2 linked regions of the Oreochromis niloticus genome follow. The protein of the gene in region 1 purifies or fractionates together with the protein of each later gene. This does not show direct contact. Links are inferred from orthologs where the notes say so. Each region holds a gene or a part of one and is shown in the gene's direction. Other genes may lie near its edges.

Region 1 (7,696 bases):
TTTGCAGAGAGCAGATTCTGCGAGTGAAGGAGGATGAGAATGTGCCCTTTCTCCTGGTTGGTAATAAGTCAGACTTGGACGACCGACGGCAGGTTAGCGCAGATGAGGCAAAGGCACGTGCAGAGCAGTGGGGCGTGTGCTACGTGGAGACGTCGGCCAAAACTCGTGCCAATGTTGACAAGGTTTGTTTAACTTGCTGAACATAATAATTCCTGGGCAAAATGAGTTGACTATGCTGACACCAAGCAAAACAGACACATAAACACAGAAATGTGAACACTTGTGTTTTTTATGTTCTCCTGTTAACAGGTTTTTTTCGACCTAATGAGAGAGATCCGGGCAAGAAAAATGGAGGACAGCAAAGAGAAAAACGGGAAGAAGAAAAGTAAAAGTTTGGCCAAGAGAATTAGAGAGAGATGCTGTATTTTATAGTCGTTAGAGGGAGCAGGCTCGCTGCTTATGTACATACGCATTTCTCAGACTTTTGCTTTTTTTAAAATTTTTAATTTAATTTAATTTTTTGTGCCCATACCTGACCATGATCTTCTGTTCCTGGTTAACAGGACATCTGACCATGTGTCAGGAAGTAGTAAGGTGGCACTTCATACACCATTTATAGCTCTAACTTTTTATGTGCTGACACTCCAAATAATTTATGTACCCTCTCTCTCTCACTCTGACCACATTACAGAGTGTAATAATTCAGTGGTGTTTTTAATTTAGACCTAAGCTTGACAAAAGGCTAAGTCTTGAAATGTTCCAAAACGTTTCATTGTAAAGTCTGACACGTGTGTGTGCGAACACACACACACATATTAAGAGAGCTGTGCAGTGCAAGTTGAAAAAAAGATTTAAATGAAAGTCTAAGCGCCAAGGTTTAAACAGGGAAGATGTAACTGGAGCTCAGTACTGGAAAGCCCCAATCCCTTTTAATTAATCCACCATCTTTGGTAGAAAGTGTTAGTTAACAGACTCAGCAGTGTAGTGTCAACCCAGAGTTCATCAAGAGCCACAGAGGAGATGAACATTGCACTGAGCATGTGAATCATTTCAATTAGAAGACAGTTCCATTATCAAAGCCTGAGACAAAATTTGATGCCATTCCTATTTGTCGTTTTACACCTCAGTTTTACTATGTTGTACAGTTATGTATACTTATTTTTAGTCGTGACGTCAAACATTTCCCTTCTTCTTCTTCTCCTCTATCATATCACCCAGTGTAAGATAAGCGCACTAATGTTTCCACTAATCTCTCCCCTTACCCCAGAGACTTTGAGTCTTCTCAAATGCACAATGGACATTAATCGTTACCCTTGAATCTGTGAGGGATTTTGCAACACTTGAACTTTTTTCAATTCTAACATGTCAGAAGTTTTACCTCACTTGGCATTGCCTTTTTTTGCGATAAAGGAATCCCTGGTGCTCAGATAAAAGGTGATTCCATAACACTACATCCCTTACATGCTGACACATCTTAATTTTAAAAACAAAGAAACACATTGTAAATTGTAAAAAATGTCATTTTTCATGTATAACTTTCCCTGACATTTAATCTGCAAACTTTTATCTCCCTTTTCCTTTTGTTAAATGGAAAAATCCTTAATTGGAAAGCTGGGGTAAATTAATGAATAGATCATTTTTAAGGCATGAAATGAAAACGAGACTGCAGGCTGCATAGACGTGAGGTGATACTTGTCCAAAAAAAGTTTTAGTCGCCAAAGAAAAACGCTAGCTAGTACAAACAAGTGCCCACTTATTATTTGAAGTGAATGACAGCTTGCTGTAATGAGCATCAAAAGTAAGCACTACAGTCTTTGCAAAAGTCAAAAGGAGTGTCGGGAAGCGTCGAGATTTCGGTCTGATTCGCCTGGGGAAAGAAATGCAAGGTTATGAGGGCTTTAGTAATTCTTGTGCAGTGCGTCACTGTTGCCTCTCTGTCCATTGTGAATGTGAAACATCCCCTCATACTCATCCTGTTTGCCTGTAATCTTAGACTGCCAATGATTTGCAGAGTTTAGAGGTCGCTGGCGTTCTACTTTTCTACGTTTTGTGCAAGGCTACCCTGTGTTACAGTGCTGTAGTAACATGCCGAATGTGTTCATTTTATCTTGTAGATGGCATTTTAGAGGCAAAGGTTGAAACAGTGTATAGAAATTGGCAAATTGAGAATGCATAGACCAAAATACACTGTGAAAACTGCCCCTCGTTTCTTAATTTATGACTGAGCCTTTTTTTTTCTTTTCTTATGAACATTATAATTTATTTTTAGTAACTTATTATTTGTTTTTAATATTTCAGTAAAGTTAAACAGCCACGTTGAGGTTGTTGCCATGTTTCTCTCTGATTCACTACCAATCGTTAACTTAATAGTAAGCTGCTCACCATTTACACTAAAAGATTGCCACAACCAATAACGTGCCCAACACTGGAGTCTATGCAAAATGTTTGCTGTAATTGCAAAGAGGAAATGTGAAACCTGGAAAGAGTTTAAAACACTGACTGGGTCTAGAAACTATTGACTAGTAGAAGCACTTGAGCTGGAGCGCCATTTAGAGATCTGACTGCAGTTTGGAAAAAAGTGTGTCATCCAACAGCTATGAAGCTTTCTTTTGTCTGTTTGTTTGTCTTTTTAATGTGCGTTTATCATGCAACTCATGTTTACAGCAAAGCACATAGTAGGAGGAGTTGGACTTTAAAACAGTAACGTGAGATGGCATCAAACTGATTGGTAAGCAGTTTAGTCTAATATATGTCCTAAGGGCTAAACTCCAGTACACCACATAATGATTGAAACGCCCTGAAAGTTAAAGTGGCACGCACAGAAACTGGAATGAGCATAAAGATCCCAGTTTATTATTACTCTCCTTCTTTAGCTTGAGATTATTACATTAACCGCATTGTGTCTTCATTGTTGAGGATTACAGAAGCTGCCCTACATAAAGTGACTACCGTAATGCTTGCTTACTATAACACTGGCTAAACAAAGTCTTTCTTGTTTCAGTTTGTTGTGGGTTTTTGTTTATTCAAGCAGACATCATTCATAATCATTCTACTGCTGTTACTTTGTTTCCACATATTAATTTAATAGACTTGATAGCCCGAAAAATTTCAGTGAAATACTAAAACAGATGTTTGTGTGAATGCTATGAGCAAACTGTCCTACTGGGTATTCAGATAACTTGTTTTGCCTTTTCTATACCCTTGGAGTAAAAAAAGAAATATATAGGTATCTATGTAATTGATTGGATGGTTGTATGTATGCCATCAGTTAAATGTTTCCTTCATGTTTCCTTATTTTTAACATAACCACTAATGTAGCCTATCTGTTTGTGAATACAAGAGGTGACGCTTACATTTCAATTCATTTTTTTGTGAGTTTGGAAATGGCAAATAAAGTGGACATTACTAATAACACTTTGTAAATGTGTTTGTATGTTCTGTGTGATACGTTTATTGTTTTTTGCACTGAACAGGTGAACTTTGAAGTGCTGTGTTATATGTATAAACATGGATAATATCTATCTCCTTACCCTGACCTTTCTTAGAGGAAAAGCACTATCTTAAGGTCATAAAACAAACTCTTGAAGTGTTTAGGTTCTTTCTAAGCTCCTTAGAAACTCATGAAGCCTTTCAGCAGGCCTGGATTGCCAGGAAAATGGCAAGACATGTCCATAAAAACACACCACAAAAAAAACTTTATGCCAGAAAATGGAAAAGTAACATTTATTGGTGTCTTTGTTGGGTAAATAACAATAAAAACAGGTAAATAAATATATTTGTCACAATTTCAGCTTAGGTCTGTGCACTTGGTTTAGAGAACAAAGTAAAAAATTGCTTTAGCTTTTAGGTATCTTTATCGTGTTCCACCGTTAACTCTGTGTCTGTGATGAATGATGTAATTTGTAAGGTATTTCATTTTTATTGCATATAAATATATCTATGTATATATGCGCACACACAGAATTTGAAATATTATTGTACAATAGATTGTGCATTGCCAGTCAGATCATCTTCTAATATTATTAAAAAATATCCCGAGTAAATACAAAATGCAGTTGGTAAATTATTTCATTTATTAACAGTAAAGGTTATCTAAACCTACCTGACCATATGTGAAAAGCTCTTCTGCAGAGAAAAGTGAGCCGAAATTCCTTTCATGTGTCAGACTCATTGCCAGTTATCGCAAATGCTTGACTGCAGTTCTTGCACCCAAAGGTGGCCCAATAAGTTACTAGGTTTAAGGGGTATTTACTTTTTCATACGAGGCCAGGTAGGTTTGGATAGTTTTTTTTTCTTTAATAAAAACATCTGTTTTGTTTTTAATACTTAGATTTAACTTCTTAATTTTCCAATCATTCCCTTGACAAATGACCATATTCTGTATAGTATAGTATTAATCATTTAAACTGAGGAATGATTAAATAAATGAATGAAACTAAGCCGAACTGTGAACCTAGATTAACTGTGTCGCGCATATGGCGCGTGATGGCAGCATCTGGTCTTATTGTAATCAATGGAAAGACATAACCTGGAGTTCCATTTACTGGATACGTGGAAAATAACCATCTCCTGTACACTCTGGTTAATATCGCATTTTCATATCATATTATGTGGGGGGGTTTGATGGTAGGGGTTTCCCTTTCGCTGTGACGTTACCAATGGATTACGAATACGAGTGCCATTGGTTGACACCGACGCACAAGGCCTGTAGTTTGAAAGCAGCCTGGGCCCGGGCGAGCTGTACCGTTAGCTGCACTGGGAACAAAGTTATATTAATATAAACACATTCAAAGATTTTTGAGCTATTTAACGCAGAGGTTTTGCTACTTTCGGGTAATGCTGCAATCAGCTGAGGTAGCAGTCCAGCAAGATACGTGGACGCAGGCGTGATTTTGAATGGCATTGTTTTCTTGCATGTTGACTGAGTTGTCTTGAACTCCACACAAGGAGAAGCTAGCTGGCTAAGTTGCTAGCGGCTAGCTGGTTAGCCGCGGACTATCCGGCCAACTCGCGTGCTGTTCACTTCCTTGTTGCACACCGGAGTGTGATGGAGGGCAAGAAGTTTGTGAGAAGGAGACGGAGTTTACTACTTACATTTTAACACTATTCGGTAAATGGATTTACATGCTCGCACAGACGGTAACGTTTTAGAAGAAGTGGATCTTAAATTTAGAGAGGCTATAGGCCTGTGCTTTTACCATGAAATGGAATGCGACTGTGTAGCCGAGTACAGTTAGCCAGTTAATACTAGCTGGCTAAACCGACTAGCATTAGCTGGTAAATCTGGGAGATGTCCGTCCTGGAACACAATGGTTGAGTATCGTATGGCTCTATAACCAAGAATCATTTTGTGAATTTGATATGAGCCGGAGTGTGCTGGCACTAAGTGTCATTAATTTCCTTCTGAACTAACTCACTTTATCTTAAATCTGAATTGTACTAGCTTTGTAATGCTAACGTTAAGCTAGCTGGCTGGCTGTCTACCTGTGATTTTGCTGTTACGTTAGCTGACTAGCCTGTCACCATAGCTAGCCCAATGTTTTGTTCCACGACACACCAAGGGACATAGCTTTGGTAAATTAGAGAATATATTATTCTTAGCGTGGTGGTAGCATTTATTTGGGAGATAAATGCCTAATTCGGAGGTGCTTCGCGAGGGTCGGGGACGGAGCCCCTCTGCACAGAGAAATGCTAGCAGGCAGGACAGGCGTAGCAAACCGGGGAGCGGTGCCGCTCAGCGAGACAGGCACCGTGAGAAGAGGCGCTCATCGGCTTCTAGAAGAAAGAAACGCAGGCAACCCAAGGAAAGAGGCTTGTGGCATACCGGTACAATAGAAGACCCTGACAATGATCGAAGAAGTGCTTTTGAGAAAGATGTTGAACTTCGGACACTGGTGGAGTACGATGACGTGAGCTCCCAGTCAGAGCGTTTTTCTGGGAGCCCCTCTCCTAAACTTGACCCCCATGCTGAGAGTCTCACAGCGGACCGACTTAGCGATGTTGACTTTGTTGACTATAATGGACCAGCATCCCCAGACAGAAGTCACCCCAGAGAGCGGGAGGCAGTGAGCCTCAGCAAGGACGAGCAAACAAGAGGACCATCTGAGAGAAGCAGGCAAGAGAAGGAGCTAAGTAAGAAAAAAGACCGTCACAGTCGGGAGAGGGACTCCTCAAAAGCCAGGAGTGGAGGAAGCCTGAGTGGCTCTAAAAATCACAGAGACACTACAAGGAGCAGTGACAGGAATGGCAAAAGGACATCTACATCCCAGTCCTCACAATCTGCTGATAAAAGGGATTCAAAAACGCACAGAAGTAAAACAAGATCTGATAAAGAGCCCCCATCTGCATACAGAGATGCTCCACAGTCTTACAGAGATGATCGTGAGGACCTCAGGGCATACAGGAGAAGTCCTGGTTTTAAATCAGAAAGTCCCTATGGGACATCATATTCATATAACTACCAGTCTCCTGGCGGTTATAACCAGCTGATATCTAGAAGGAGTCCAACTTATGGGAGCAAAAGACTGTCTCCCAGTTCCACATATTACAGCCGGGATGTAGACATGTATGGGTCGTATGGTGCCCCCAAGTCACCCAGTTCATACTCAAGCAACAAAAGGAAGAGATCGCCTGTGAGCCCAGTGAACTGGCGCAGGTCTCCGAGTTACGGTCGGCACAGTCCTTATGAACAAGGAGAGTTTGGCTCAAGCCCTTATGGTAACCGGAGGCGATCACGAAGTCCATATAGGAAGTCCTTGAGCCCAAGTCCTGATGTCAGGTGAGTTGTTATTTCGGAGCTAATTGAGCATGTTTAATTTGTTGCACATGCTCTGTTGGTGTGGTGACTTTATTAGATTTGTTATAATAAGGCTGCACTGTTTCATATTTGATTTTAAAATAAAATAAAAAATTATATGTGTCACTGCAGTTGATAATCTGACTGAAATACCTTGAATTATAAGTGCTTTTAATATCCCAACTGAACATGCTGTTCTCATCATTTCCTTTCCAGGCGATCTGCTAGATCACGTAGTAGAAGTCCATATTCAACTTCAAGGCATTCACGTTCTCGCAGCCGACACCGCCACTCTCGTTCCCGTAGTCGGCCATCTAGTCTTTCACCAAGCACGCTCACCTTCAAAACTAGCCTTGCTGCTGAACTCAGTAAGCAGAAAAAGGCTAAAGCTGCAGAAGCAGCTGCCAAGGCCAAGAATTCGAGCAATACATCGACTCCCACCAAGGGTTCCTCATCCGCTCATCAGCCCAGCCCTAAATCGAATCACAACTCCAGAAAGGGTCGCCCTCCTTCTCCACCTCAACCGGAGAAGGGACCCCGAACTCCCACATCAACCCAGCCTCAGTCACCCTCAGAGAGGTCATCCAAGAAGACAACAGAGCACCAGACCAGCAGGGACAGGGATGTAAAGGGCAAGGATGACTCTATACATCGGGACAAGAGGAAAGCACCAGCGTCTGGACAAGGCAAAGAAAAGGAACGTACCACAGGTCAAGCCATGTCTACCCTCCCATTGCTGCCATTGCCCCAAACAGTTATTGAGCACACGGACAAAGGAGAAAGGTATGGATGTGCTGACCAGGAAATGTTTGTACTCTGTAGATATGATCAGACTGTTTCAGTATGCTAATGCTCTCTCAACAATTTTTGCAGCTTGAAAGACAGCTCACTCTCAGGGAA
Region 2 (7,149 bases), on another chromosome or scaffold:
ACCTATTTAACTCCTCTCCCTTTTCTTTAATTTTAATGATATAATTATATCATCTGGGTTCAAATGGTGGCTCTTTAGTTTAGGATTCCCTACAGTCCTTCCATCTCAGCAGTGGCGCGCTACAATGACCCTTTGGCACTGACTCCCCTCGCGCGTTTTGGCATCGGTGCGCAGAAACGGCAACTCTTGGCTCTCGTGGCAGTAGCCGCGTTGATTGAGAGAGGGAGAGAAAGCGACAGAGAGAGAGAGAGAGAGAGCGCAGGCGGGCAGACGGACAAGAGACACCTCCCTCCCCTCCTTCCAACAAGCTCCAGTGTCTCCTATTGAGCCGTCTTTGCAGCTCACACGACGAAACATGCCCTGTTTGGGGCGACCCCGCATGTGTGTGTGTTTGTGTGTGTGGTTGGTGTTGCCTCATTCAAGTTTAAGTGCGTCCAAGACATCAGCCACTACAGAGGTGTGAACGGCAGACAACACAGAGACAATTTGCGGGGGGCAACCAGCAGTGGCTCCCCAGAGCTCCACCACGAGCTTCAGACGCAAACATCACTCAGCAGTGGCTACTTCACAGGCACGCTCACGTCTGGCTATTGGAAGCAGTGTCAAGTTAGCAGCCAAAATTCACCTTCACTTGATTTTTTCTTTTTGGTAATTCTATCACAAATACTATGAAGTAAAACAATCTGATCATTTCACCTTTTACCTATTTAGAACCACCACCACCACCCCTCATCATTGCTTACAGAAGTCTCCCAGGCACGCCAGATGGAAATGATCTTAAAACAAGAACAGCAAACACCTAGATCAGGTCCAAGTCAAACTTGGATGAAGGGTCACCTTTAATTTAGACAATCCTTTGTGTTGCTGTTTGTCGACTATGTAAACGCTGAAGCACTGCACAGGACACATGGCATCATACATGCAGTACTTACTCACATTTGAGTCAGAGGGTGGAAAACCCATGCTGTAGCTTTGTTGTTGGGGATCATTTAAATATGTTGTGAGGCAACAGTACCCTCTGTTGGCACAGTCTGGAGAACCTGTTTAGGCAGTGATACCTTAATGCAGCATTACTAAACTCCATCCCTATTTTTAGAATGAAGCCTCCTTAATTTGCCATTTACACAGTTCAGCGTCTGAGAGAGAGTCCTTGGAAAAGCAGATCGGGTTCACTAAGAGGCAATTAATAGCACTAAGGGAAGGTAATTGCACACGTACAGGTCTGCATTGAGATACAGGTTAGTACAGCCCTAACGCCACCACACCATACAGTCCAAACTGGTGCCGTGCCGTAATTTGCTTGAAATACATTGTTGAATAAAAATAATAGCCTCACACGGCCGTTTAAAGTTGACACTGTTTCCTCGTAGATCAGCAGAGAAGTGTGCAGCCACAGCAATACATTTTACAGCCCGCCATTAATAAAACATGGTGGGCAATTTTAAGAGCATTAGAAGTTTGATTGCTTCGGGGCAGGCCTAGGGGACTTTCAGGACAGTAATTATTTATATAAATGAAATGTCATCTCAGCTCTGGCTCAAGTAGACGTAACCTCAGCAGACGCCACATGGAAACACTACGGCACAACAGCTATCTTTCACAGATAGGCCAAGCATGTTGTCGAGCATATTGCTTTGACTGGAGCGCATAAATTCGATATGTGATATTACACGGAGAGTCTTCGACTCCGCGTCGGGCCAAGAGAGCAACAGCAGTCGTGGACATATTGAATGCTGAAGGAAAACATTATCCTGAGTTCACACACGCTCTCTCTCTCGCTCGCTCTCTTGCCATCCCTGCCGGCTGCGAGCAGCTCCTTGATCCTTACCCATGGGTTTCTCAATAATACATCAATGTCTCCATTATAGCTTGTAACTGCAGGCTCTGGGCAAAGGCAGTTTAAAGCTGGGTTGCATGGGGCCAACATAGCACAAATACCCCGCTTGTGGACACAGGAAAGGTTTTAAGTCCAAATGTTGCCTCCAAGGAGACATGCATCTCTCATGCTAAGTGTGGTCGCTCAAGAGGAGGTACCTGAACACACCACGGGGCAACATCCAAGCAAGATGTGAAAGTTTTGTCCAACTTACAAGGGGCCACGGTGCTGACATGCAATCGCTTTTTCCAGAATCTACTGAATTTAGAAAGATCTGCCTCGTTTGTAACTTACAGTTAAAATAATGAGCCCGGTGACAAAGTTTTTAAAAAAATTAGGAGCTTTTGCATTTGAGTGGACACGCGGCTCACCCGGCTTTGATTCTGGGTCACCTCCATCATTGCATCCCTTACATCTTCCATTTTTCATGTCCCTCCCATTTATTTACTCTCTAAAGAATACAACAAAGACATTAATACAGTATCCTAAAATAGACTAATGTACATGACGGAAACTGCACTTTATACAGTTTTTAGGGTTAAGTGTGCAGACCTTTCGAGACAGTCTTCAATGCGTTTAACCACAGCGTGACAGAGCTGACATAAACAATGAAAGGTCCACTCCAGGAGAGCTGGGGTAATATGAATATTGCTCTGGGATTTGCTTATAGTCGGCGCTTCATTATGCAATGTTTAATATTAATAAAGAAAGTATAAGTATATATTATTCATAAGCTGATTTACGGTGGCTGGTGTGTGTGTGTGTGTGTGTGTGTGTGTGTGTGTGTGGATTTGAGTGACAGATTGAGATGCTCCCTTGCTACAGGCAATACAACTAGACAAGGCTCTTACTTTTCTACAGGACACATCCTGACAATTTCTCCCACAGTTAAGAGGATTTGTCCGAGCAGGGGTGAATATATAATGCATGCAGATTCCAAATTTTAATTTGGACGGAGTAAATGATTCAATGCTGGCTTTTCTCAGAAGTGAGACTGGGCGGGAGGGGGATGCAGAGGGCACAAGATGTTACTTGCAAACCCCGCTCTTATGCAGTGACATTTAAACAAGTACAGATGATGCTGCACCTTTCACATGTCAACAACAGGAGCCTAAAGGAAAATTACTTTTCTAATATTTTCATTTTCCTGCTTAAAATTCCTTTTTGGTTAATATGATAGCAAGTTTCCATTACCAATAAACACCACAAACAACTTCTTTTTTTGTCCTAATCAGTCCCTTTTCTCACCTTCTCCTTTGCAGCAGGGTGAGGTGGTAAACTTTCATAATCTGTCCTGTCTCACAACCTTCATGTTTGAACTCAGATGCCATCGTGACAGATAATACATGATAATTATTTGCAGTTTGAATCTCATGTGCATATATTGTTTTGCGTATTAATTAATATCATCGTCATTCTGTGCATACAGCTCAAAACCAACATTTAAGGTAAATTTTAAACGTGTACGTGTTGTTTGATTAGATATAAATAACTCACGAGTAATATAGAAGATAACGCCGGCACTGAGTTAAAAAATGAGGGATTTGCTTGTGTTTAATCAGTAAAATAAACCAGCAATGTTTATTTTAGGGAGTCAGACAGAGTAGATTTGGACCCAGTGTTCTTTAGTATGTGCACTCTCAGGCAAATACCAGCAAAACTCATCTACTCTTAGATCCAGTTGTGCATCAGCAGTCTGTTTGTAACATATACAGGAGTATAAAAATCTATAGGTATCAAACGACAAAGGAAAATCTGCTTCAGTTTATGTATTATACGTGTTTAACCTTGTCATTTTTTCTTTTTAATTTAATTTTTAACTTACCTGCAGATTCACATTTATACTGGTCACAACTCATACTTGTTTGATTGGGTTCCTTTTACATCCTGCTACTGCTACATCCAGTGATATTTCTTGTAAGGAGCATATTTCTATGTTTGGGTGTTACCTGCTGCAGGACTCACCAGGTGTGAAAATAACCGGTGACTATTCAGCACAATGTAAATAATATTTGCTTGCTTGCTTGTAATTTGCACATGTAAACTATTTGGTCAATGCTAAGTCAATGCTGACCGCCAAGGTCCAAGAGTGAATCTGTGTCTCCCTCTAGTGGATATTATTGGGAATATCATCCTTTAGATTATTATCAAGAATATAAGAATTTAAAATGTTTTCAGGAAAGGCGGGCTGTTTCCAGCAGCGCTAGTTAGACTTAAAACACGAATGAAATTAATGTAGCAGCGGAAATGGAAAGAAAAATGTGACCCGAGAGCACGTGTACATGAGTGCCTGCGTGATGACGTCTTCCAATGGTCTGACGTACCGCAAAATGGTGGTGCCCTTGTTACAATGGGGTCTGTTGTTCACTTGTTAGCCAACTTATTGTGATCAACTGTGGATTATTGCTACAACTGTCTGATTTAGGCGATTTATTCGGACGTCTACATGTTAAAGGTAAGAGTTGTGTCTCGTTGGAAGCGGGAGGGAGATGAAGAGGCTGAATTCTGAACTACTTGTGACATGTCGGAAGCTTCGGCGTTAACACCGAGTTGAGCAAGTTTGCTAGCCGAGGTTTAGCTAGCCGAGGCTGGTGCAGAGTGGCCCTGTCGATGTGACAGCGTTGGTTGCCTTCAGTTGGAGAGTTTCATAAATGTTAGCCTATCGGCGCGTTTAAGCCACTTCGAGTGTGTGGCTCATGTTATCCTAATCTCCGCCCCTTGCTGCTTTTTTAGTTTTACGAAGCTAAGTTACCATCACAGCTAACAGTGCCAGCAGTAGCGGGTTCGTTGCAAAGCATTTTCGCTGTGTCTACATTAGGCTGTTGATTCTGCTGTGCTGCTGTAGGCACACTGGGAGACGAGATTTACACATGCATGGAAATTATAGATATATTATGTTGCTGTCTGAATCCATTTTACTCATCTATTTATTTACAACGAGCCTGGACTTGGAGCACAATGCAGCTCAGAAATGTTTGCTGCTCTTTAGCGTTTCACACTGTGGACTACAAGCTAATTACACTGTTTATAAGCCTGAGTGTGTGTATAAAACTACGCTATGGCCTACACAAAATAGCGAGTGGACGTAAACTCGTGGCCAGGTTATAGGCAGATTTGTGGTACTCTTTGCCTGAACGTAAATATTTACTTGTGTAAGCTATGCTGTTTAATGCTTTGCTGCCCTTAGTGATGATCCTTTTTATTTTTATCTCCGCAGTCCAGCACAGCGGGTCCATCCACCGCCTCTCCTCAATCAATGAAGGAATCCAAGGAAAATTCGTCAATGACGGGCCAGGCAATCTTGGACCATATAAAACCATGCTGGTACTGGGACAAGAAGGATTTAGCCCACACGCCCTCTCAGTCTGAGGGTCTGGACCCTGGCACAGAGGCCCGGTATCGCAGAGAAGGGGCTCGCTTCATATTCGACGTGGGGACCCGACTTGGCCTGTATCCTTGATTTAGATGATAGATTTATTGCTACAGCTACAAGAGAAAGGGTCACACGATTAATCAGTGCCACATGCTTCAGTTTTATAGTTAAAGATAAACAGACTTTTAAAAAGCAGTACATCTGAAAACGTCTTTTATGGCTGTCTTGTCCTTTCTCACAGAACCTACTTTGATGTGAATGTGAACATTTTTACAGGGTTTGTCTGATATACTTATATATATAATGATGTTTGTGGAATCATTATTAAAAGAAAAAAACTTTTTTCTTTTTAATTTAAAGAGTCACACGTTAAAGCTGATATTTTGCAAATGACCATTATTAGTCTTTGTGAGTCCTTGACCTGCATTTAGACACTACGACACACTGGCAACGGGCATCATATATTTCCACCGCTTCTACATGTTTCACTCCTTCAAGCAGTTTCCCAGATATGTAAGTAAATCTAATGGTCCCTGATTGTTTCACTCCTGGAAGCAGACCTGATGTTTGTAATGGTGAAGTAATGGTGTGATATGTGTCTCGACAGGTGACGGGAGCTTGTTGTCTTTTCTTGGCTGGTAAAGTAGAGGAAACCCCAAAGAAGTGCAAAGATATCATTAAAACTGCCCGCAGCCTCCTGAATGATGTGCAGTTTGCACAGTTTGGAGATGATCCCAAGGTGCAGTTCCTTGTATTCACCTTTGTTTTGAGATGTTTTTGCCTTGTGATAGCAGAAGCAGAATGGGTGTGAATACCTGTTAAAAACAGGTAGTGTGTAGTGGTCACAGGCCTCACTGTGATACAGGCAGATGACAATAATAACAGCGTCACTAATGCTTGAATAAATGAGGTCCTGGTAAAACTGAAGACTGAGTTTTCAATAACCTAAAAAGTTCCTTACTTATTTTTTTTAGTGATCAGGGCTTTTATTTACCTTAGCTGCCTGTAAGTGAGGCAGGCTTGCATTACAAACAAACTTTTATTCCTCGCTTTTATTAGAATAACTGTCTGTGTTCACTTGCATACAAAGCTTTGCTCAAACACGCTTACATTTCTTTAGTTTTAAGCTGGTGCATTAGGTGCGTAATACCACAGTAAGCCATGACTCATTCTTTAAACAGATCAGCGAGGTCATCAGAGCGTCACTCAGCACAGCTTTATGTGCCCTGACTCACAGAGACAGTAATCAGACCAGTTACCCTCTGCTGTCATGGGGTCAAAACCAAACAAGAACAAGTTTTAAATGCAGTGGAGTATGATTATGTCATTATGCCTCTTCACGTCTTTGCTATTAAAAACACACAACTCCCTCTCAACATTCAAGATTTTTCTTTTTTCCTCTTACCAGTTGGCGAGCTAAAATATCTATTAGCATGAAGTAGCCTCTGTTTCACTTAATCTGACCTTGAGTACTTTTGATAGAGCATGCATTTGTGACATCTGGACCTGGCTTATAACTTGACACTTTATTAGACACGTTTACAGCAAACACTCTTCTGGATTAGATCCAGCACTCATATGGAGCGGCACAAGCATCATACAGACGGCTTGTTTGCTTTCCAAGTCGCTCTTTAACTTGTTTAGCGTCATGCTAGAATTAGCCAGTGTCCTGGCTTTTCTCACCAGTTTTTAGTAGCTTAACTACTGTCATTAAGTCAGAATTGTACATTAGCTTCTTTCTTACTCAAGTGTTTTTAAATGAAAAGTTCAGACATTTGACTCTCATCTGGCTTATCGTTACTAATTGGAAGTAAAGGTAATGGAAACTTGCCATTCATTGCCAAAATGAGCTTTCATGTTTTTTAACATGTGCAGTATTTCCAGCGCCTACAGCGTTTTT

The links.
Region 2: the proteins of cdk13 (region 1) and ccnk purify together in Homo sapiens (affinity purification with mass spectrometry; 4 studies listed by BioGRID and IntAct, counting the BioPlex papers as one, with this or other methods). This does not show direct contact. The link is inferred for Oreochromis niloticus from reciprocal best matches to the Homo sapiens genes CDK13 and CCNK.

What each region holds. Positions count from the first base shown.
Region 1 is NC_031974.2:13,116,403-13,124,098, reverse strand, and holds the start of cdk13 (cyclin-dependent kinase 13), read left to right. Parts: upstream 1-4,683; 5' UTR 4,684-5,630; coding exon 5,631-6,778; intron 6,779-7,012; coding exon 7,013-7,579; intron 7,580-7,669; coding exon 7,670-7,696. UniProt on the Homo sapiens protein: Cyclin-dependent kinase which displays CTD kinase activity and is required for RNA splicing.
Region 2 is NC_031980.2:2,995,027-3,002,175, reverse strand, and holds the start of ccnk (cyclin-K), read left to right. Parts: upstream 1-4,135; 5' UTR 4,136-4,322; coding exon 4,323-4,330; coding exon of another isoform or gene 4,331-4,331; intron 4,332-5,089; coding exon 5,090-5,326; intron 5,327-5,680; coding exon 5,681-5,762; intron 5,763-5,856; coding exon 5,857-5,988; intron 5,989-7,149. UniProt on the Homo sapiens protein: Regulatory subunit of cyclin-dependent kinases that mediates activation of target kinases.